2 linked regions of the Arabidopsis thaliana genome follow. The protein of the gene in region 1 interacts with the protein of each later gene in a pairwise test. Each region holds a gene or a part of one and is shown on either strand. Other genes may lie near its edges. The genes, in order: ACA8 and FLS2.

Region 1 (3,932 bases):
AAAATTATTATATTAAGTGAAACAAGTCTGTAGACACCTAAAAAGAAAAAGAAAAAAGTGAAACAAGTTAAATTACCCGTCACAACAATCACAAGAATCACAGCAAATGCAATGCTTCCTCCATCATACCATCCTTCTTTGATACCCTGTCGATGATTGTTATCCAAGTTAGTAAAGATTGTGTAAGACCAAGGTTAATTTGGAGGTGACATTACTCTGGGGAAAGAGGGAAGAGCCAAATTTAGTTAATTGATTTCATCACAAACCTCTGTTTTTATCCCAAGTGCTAAAGACGCTACAGCAGCAACCATTAAAATGATCAAGGTGAGATCATGGCAAGCATCCCAAAGAAACCTCTGTAATGATTAACAAAAAACCAATACGCTTGATAAGAAAGTGAGCAGGGAAAACCTAACTTGTAGCATAGAGCTAATAATAAATATGCATTTCATACCAGAAACCCTTTCCCTTTCTTGCGAGGATATGTGTTTGATCCATAAATGGTCTTGCGCTTTAGCAAGTCATCATCATCGCCACTGATACCTTTCTCTGGATTTGTCTTGAGCAAATTGGCCAATCCTTGAGTCTGATGCAAGAAATACACGCATACCAATAAGATAATTAGAGAACGACTATAAGAAAACAGACATAAGCATGTTTCATGACTGAAAACTTACCCCTCCATATTGCTCCAGGGCACCACTGTTGTGATCCTTTGACATTATCACAAGCTGTTCAGGAGTAATTCCAAAATCACCAGCCGGAGTTGCAGGCCCAGTTGTTTTTTCAACTCCTGAAGTGAGAAAAAAAAAAGACCACATCAACAAGTTTATACAAAAAGACTTTCTTCTCCACATTCAGAACCAGATAATGCACAACACCAAAGTACACAGTTAGCCAAAATTACCTGACTCACGTCCCATATCCATAAAACGATTCGCCGCCTAATAAAGAAATAGAAGACGCTAATCAGTAATTTACACAATCTCATGATAAAGACATGATTAACCAGCTTCCAAATAAAGTTACCAAAAGAGCATGAGCATGACTTCTGATCTTCTGTCTCATTTCCCTCGTTTCTTGCTCCTTCTTCAAGTCCAAGGTGTACCGGAATCTCCGGGACGCATTGAGAACCAGTGCAGCTTTCTGTAATAAACACAATTCACTGTTAGCTCAAACACAGATAAACAAGCATTCTTATCTCACAATATGAAACAACATCAGACTTAAGAAGGATCTAGGTCTTACTCTCCACTGTTGAAGCCGCTCAATAGAAGCATTCTTCGATGGGATGTAGAAAGTGTCGCTATCAGAGTCTGCGTGTTCACTCTTCCCAGACTCCACATCGCCTCCACGGCGTCGTCCAGGCGATGACTTCAAGAGACTCGTCATCGTTGCAGTCGCAAGAGACAAGAAGAAAACCACTCAAATCCCTAAATCTCAAAACCACTGAGAAAAAATCAAAAGATAAGTAAGTTTGCAGTTTAAAGGTTGCTTCTGCTTTCGACAACCACGTGAAATATCAAGCAAGAAAAAAGCAATTTCTCCGGGATAAAAAAAAAGTAAGAAAAAAAAAAAAGATAAATATCTTCTTCGAAACAAAGTATCTTCTTCTCTCTGGGAAAAATCCAGAGTGCGACAAAACAGCCACAGATATTTTCTCAGATTTCTTCAAAAATCCTTGACATTAGCCTTAAATCACAACAATATCATGTAAAATCGGAAAAAAAAAAAAAAAAATCGATGAACGCGAAGTCACTCCTACCACGAGAAAAACGCTGTGAAACGGTTTACTCCAGTAGTAGTCAACAAAAATTCAAATTAGGTAAGACTAAAGAAGACGAAGAATAAGAACAACAGGAGACAAAGCGACCAACACTGCGAAATTTTAATTTAAACAAAACAGTAATTAAAATTTTTATTCGTAAGCTTTTCTCGAAATCCGAAACTCGTTTCGTAGTCGGTTGAAGAGAAAATCGAGACGAGAAACAAGTTCTACCTGGAGAGAAAATTCCGGTAAGTTCGCCGGAAAATGTGACTAGTCCTCGCCGGGAAACTAATAGAATGCTTTATCTCTCTAAAGTTTGGGATAAAACAGTAGTGAGCAAATATATAGATCTAGGGTTAATAGGTAAGTAAATAAAAGTTCTTGGGCCGGTTATGGGTAAATTTTTAATTGTTTGGAAACTAAACTACGTGGCACGCGCTAATTAAATGCTGGTGGCATCAAATTTCCTTTTTAGTTTTATTCTCATTAAAAAAATCTGTGGATTATTGTGTTAAAAAAAAAAAAAAAAAACTGTGGATTATTATTTTAAGTTAAATGGAATCTATCTAACCAAAAGAAAAAGAAAAAAAAACAGAAGTAAAGAAGGTTAGCAAAAGCTTTCCTTCATATTTTTTACCAATTTAAATCATGGTACTATTTAAATTATTTAATAACATTTAAGGAACTGAAATTTTATAAATATATGTGTCATATCATCTAATAATTAAGTAAAAATTATATTAAAAAAATGAAAATTGAAATATATCATAACATTGAATAAAAGTTTGGCTTACGTGTACAGTGGTGGAGTCACATTAAGTATTATGTATTATGTATTATTACGTTATTTCGCATGTTACTTGTATGGTCTCTTCTTTTACAATTATTTTGGAAATTTGCATTTACTAACAAATAGACAAAAAAAACATAAGTAAAAAAATTGCATATTCTGGTGTCTTAACCCACAAAATTATCTTCGACTATTTCAGAGTTCGAGCCCACATATTGAATTTTTACACACTGTAAAGAGTATTTTGAACTTTGGACTACTAGAGTATGGCATTGTTTACTTGTGAATACATGTTAGTTAGTATGTTTTCAACTTTTCATTATCGTATACTGTTAATAGAGCCTTGGTAGAAGTAATTAACTAACACCAACGCACGTTTTGTCTTTATGCACCGACTACTTCAATAGTATACAACAAACATTACGAATAATTCGTTTATAGTCACCATTCTGATTAATTGTTTTATAACTCTATCCACTAAAAATTGCCGAATCGATAAAAGGTAAATTGCGTTTCAAAAAAACGCGGAAACATGGAAAGTGAAACGGAACGTTCAAAAAACGTCGTGTTGAATGATGAAAAAATTGTTTGTATTTGGGAGACGTTAATAAGAAGCGATTCCTACTCAATATCATGTTCATTTCCACGTATGCAAAGCGAATAAACGATTCACAAAGAATATAATTCAACTAAAAATAAAATTTACTTTACTTAAAGAGGTTGTTGTAATTATATAGAAAAGATCATAATGGGGTCTCCTTTTTTAAATTACGCGTAGATGAGTCCCTGTAAAGCTTTTCGACACCACTAAGTATGAACACCTGTAAAGTGTAACAAAATAAATTAAGATTTGTGACGGAATATCTCAATTATTAGAATAATCGTCAGATATTATTATTAAATTTACAAACTATAATAATATGGGTGTGTGATAGATATACGTATAGTCCAGATGTACGGTATATATAACAAATATGTCGAATAAAAAAGTGGATTAGACAGGCGAGAAAATGCTACAAAAATAAATTAAATTAAGACAGCTAGGTTTCTTTTAAAATTAAACCGGTCCTTGCTCTTTTAGACTGTTTCAATTCACCTCAATTGAGGCTCCGTCATGCAATTTTGGGAAGCATAAGTCTTAATTGCCGAAGTCTTTTTATTATCAAGTGAGGTCAAGAAGACTTGAAAATCAATTCTAAAATTGATTGTTTCTTAATGTTTTATATTTTTCAAGTTTTTGGAAAGCAATTACAAGTTAAGATTGTAAGAAGTTTAGAGATTCCACAAACATGGCTTTAAGTTTGTTTTTCCTGTTTAACTGATGCCGGATTTTGTAACCGGAATAAGGGGTTCTTGGGGCTAAGTTTATGGTTA
Region 2 (3,932 bases), 4.3 Mb from region 1:
CCCGTTGAATTTGTTTCCTTGAAGACTCAAGTAGGTAAGCGATTCAAGCTTGGAGAACAAGGCAGGAATTTGACCTGAGAATTTGTTGTTGGAAAGATCAAGAACTGAGAGTAGCTTCATATCAAACATTTCTTCAGGAATTGGACCTTCAAGATCATTTGAATACATCCTTAGCCCCTGGAGGAGAGTGAGATTCGACATCTCTCTCGGGATTCTCCCTGTGAAACCATTAGAGTGAAGGTACAAGATATTCAAATCTTTCAGATTCCCGATTTCTCGAGGAATCGGTCCAGTGAGAGAGTTATATGAAACTTGCAAAATCCTGAGTTTTTGAAGCTTCCCAATTAATGGCTTGAGAGTTCCTGTTAAGTTGTTATCTGCCACACTAAGAGTTTCCAAGTTTGAACAGTTGAAGATATCATCTGGAATTTCACCGGTGAAATGATTCCTCCCAATAGAAATGAACGTAAGATTCATCCTTCCGAAACCCCGCGGGATCTCGCCAGTCATTTGGTTGTGAGACAGGTCCAGGAGTTTAAGACCGGTGCAGTTACTTATGCTGGAAGGTATTGGTCCGGTAAGAAGATTGTCGTGCGCTGAAAGGTTCCGAAGGTTTGTAAGAAGCCCTAGATCCGCCGGGAGCTCACCGGAAATATTATTGAACCCCACCGTTAGGACTGTCAAGTTCCTCAAGTTTGTGATGGACTGTGGAAACTCTCCTGTGAAGTTGTTGGAATGAAGTGTGAGGACTTCAAGTGACTCAAGAAAACCGATTTCTTCTGATATCGGTCCAACCAAATGGTTTTCTGATAACCCCAAATGGGTTAACTGAGTTAACCGGAACAATGAAGATGGAATTGAAGAAGTAAGTTTGTTCTTGTATATCCGGAGTGCTTGCAGCTGAACCAAATTCCCTAATTCAGCTGGTATTTTCCCGGTTAACTGGTTATCGTAAAGCTCAAGTTGGACCAAGCTCGAGCAGTTTCCGATCTCAGCTGGTATATCTCCTTCCAACAAGTTTTCAGTTAAAACGAGAGACTGTAAGTTCAAGAGATTTCCAAAATCTCTCGGTATTTTTCCGGTTAACTGGTTACCACTCAGGTCTAAATCCGTTAAATTAGCCAGAGTACCAATTGATACCGGAATCGAACCAGTTAAATGGTTACCAGCTGCTACAAACATTTGGAGATGAACCAAATCTCCTAAGCATTCTGGTATTTTCCCGGTTAAGTTGTTGTAATCAAACCCAATCAATACCAAAGAACTGGTTTTGCAGATTTCCTCAGGAACATCACCGGACAACAAATTATTTCTAAGATCAAGATAGAAAATATTCTTAAGCTCCCAGATTCCAGAAGGAATCGAACCAGAGAAATAGTTTAGGTACAGAATAAGCTGGTTAAGCTCGGTTAACTTTCCTATTTCAGCCGGTATTTTGCCGGTAAAACTATTTGAAGTGAGATCAAGAACCTGGAGATAGGTGAGATTCGCTATGGCTGGAGACAGAACACCTTCAAGTTGCTTCTCCAGCAAGGAAACCGAGACTACATGTCCGGTACTATCGCAGGTGATTCCGGTCCAATTACAGTGTCGTAACGAACCGATGATGGTCCAATCTGATAATACTCCTAAAGGGTCGTTGGAAATACCATTCTTGAAGGATTTCAAAGCTTCGATCTCTGGTTCAAAGCTCTGTTTCGCTAGTGCAATGCCAAAGAAGAAGAAGGTGAGAGTTAATATCAAAAAGGTCTTTGAGAGTAACTTCATGGTTTAGACTTTAGAAGAGTTGAAATTGTGGAGAAGATATTATGAGAGAATTAATTATCTGGATATAAATCTATAGACGAAGTCATATGTTTATATATAAGCATATGCCGCAAGAAGATATAGATTTGAGGGATCATGTCACGGATGTGAAAAGGCCAAGACGCAATATAAGTTTCACTATTCACATAATTGGTAATTCTGTCAAGTTGCATATAAAGGCACTAAATGTATTCCCACTTCATAGTCATGCACATGCTTATATGCTTGTATTATATATCATATTCATTTAATCTCACAATGTATGTACTATGTAAGCCATATTCATGGGACCAGAATATGTAGTGACTACTTACTTACTAGTTTGTGTTAGTATCATTTTCCATATCTTATTTATGTAGTTTTTTTCCGATTTAGTTTTGAGCGATTGATTGATAACATATACAAAGTAGTTTTGACAAGGCGAAATCACTTTAATCTGCCTCCAAACGTTCTAGTCAAACTCAGATATACCACTAGAATGAAAACAATATGTTCTAGTCGTTAATTTATATGATTTCTTATAGTATATAATACATATGAAACTCACATTCTAGCTGTTTTTATGCTAAAAACAAACAAAAATGGAGTTTGAGAAATGAAAAATAAAAACCTTTTTGTTATTGGTCAAAAGAGTAGCAATCGTTGAAACTGAAATGATTGGTACTCAACATAGTATTTGACTATTGATTAAATAACATAACAATTATCATATTTTTTTCTTTCTAAATATTTGGTTTTAGGTCTAATCAGTTTAATTCATTAACACGTCTTCAAAGCTCTGACTATCAAAAGCTCATTAGCTGTCTTGATGGAATTTGTTTTATCAACAAGTTGTGTTCTGTACAAACAATCTGCCAAACATTTTATTTATCTTTCAACAAAAAGCAAAACAAAATTCAATTTTTGTTCAGATAGAAATATTACTCCTATGATCACAATTCACAACTTCTTAATATATGATTTATGGCTTTTCACATTGGACAAATGAATGGAAAAAAATAGGCGATTTAAAATAAAAAGATTATATTTTTAAAAAAGATTATGGATTTTGTATTGACTAATGACTATTGAGGAATCTGGTCATATATGATATCAGTTGATTTGGACAACCTCATCTTGACCCATTAGTATTTCAAAATTTCCATTAATTAAAAACAAAAAAAAAAATCAATTTTGTCTTCAAGATGCATGCACTGTTCTTACTTGGAGTTGACCCATATAATTCCATATCATGTTTACTTGAAGACTTGAAAGTTGACCCGTTAGACAAATAATGAATATCATTAGGTTGGGTCAAAATATTTAGAATGTCCGAAAAGGGTTTATATTGATTTTAAAATAAAGATGAACAAAGGAGTCAAAGAAAAAAACAAATTGACAGCTGTGGGATTTGAACCCACGCCCTTTCGGACCAGAGCCTAAATCTGGCGCCTTAGACCACTCGGCCAAACTGTCACATTATTACATTAAGCATGTGATTGTATTTATACTAATGTTTTAATTATTGAAAAGAAATAATCCTCGTCTTGTTGTTTTTCTTTTTAATATTTCTTAGAGCAAAGTCTTTTGCGTTTTGACTATATCTTATGGACAATCATATAAAAGTTATTTTATTTCTTTGAATTATTCGTATCAGTTTTTTTAATAAAATGTGAATTTCTATTACCATAGGAACATTGTTCATATATAATAACTTTTATATGATTACCTATGGTAATAGACAAGTCTGCAAAGATATAAGGAGATTGCCCAAACCGAAGCATTATCATGTGCCAAATTTCCTTTGTAAAGAGACAATGTAGAAGTAAGTGATTCCTTGTTTCTTCACACAGAACTGTTACATTGCTCAATGATAGATTTAACATTTAAGATGTTAATAGCAAAAAGAAATTTTTTAAATGGGATGATTGATTAAGGTGCTCGCGAGAACAAAGTAGATTATATACAAGAAGTTTGATCACTACAAGTTATTATGATTTGTGACGGATTTTCACTACATAATATTACTTAACGATATATATCATATCTTTACATAATATAACAATGTTATTAAATACGGCTTAGGAGGTGGTTAGGCTCTATGTAGGTTACATACTCCGATTTTAAATTGTAGTGTAGTTTACGCG

The links.
Region 2: the proteins of ACA8 (region 1) and FLS2 interact in a protein complementation assay, tested with the Arabidopsis thaliana proteins (one study listed by BioGRID).

Annotation. Positions count from the first base shown.
Region 1 is NC_003076.8:23,115,466-23,119,397, forward strand, and holds the start of ACA8 (autoinhibited Ca2+ -ATPase), read right to left. Parts: upstream 2,222-3,932; 5' UTR 2,000-2,221; intron 1,939-1,999; exon of another isoform or gene 1,766-1,938; intron 1,450-1,765; 5' UTR 1,393-1,449; coding exon 1,249-1,392; intron 1,147-1,248; coding exon 1,030-1,146; intron 945-1,029; coding exon 908-944; intron 794-907; coding exon 678-793; intron 587-677; coding exon 455-586; intron 357-454; coding exon 267-356; intron 147-266; coding exon 77-146; intron 1-76. UniProt on the Arabidopsis thaliana protein: This magnesium-dependent enzyme catalyzes the hydrolysis of ATP coupled with the translocation of calcium from the cytosol out of the cell.
Region 2 is NC_003076.8:18,789,637-18,793,568, reverse strand, and holds the start of FLS2 (Leucine-rich receptor-like protein kinase family protein), read right to left. Parts: upstream 1,995-3,932; 5' UTR 1,768-1,994; coding exon 1-1,767.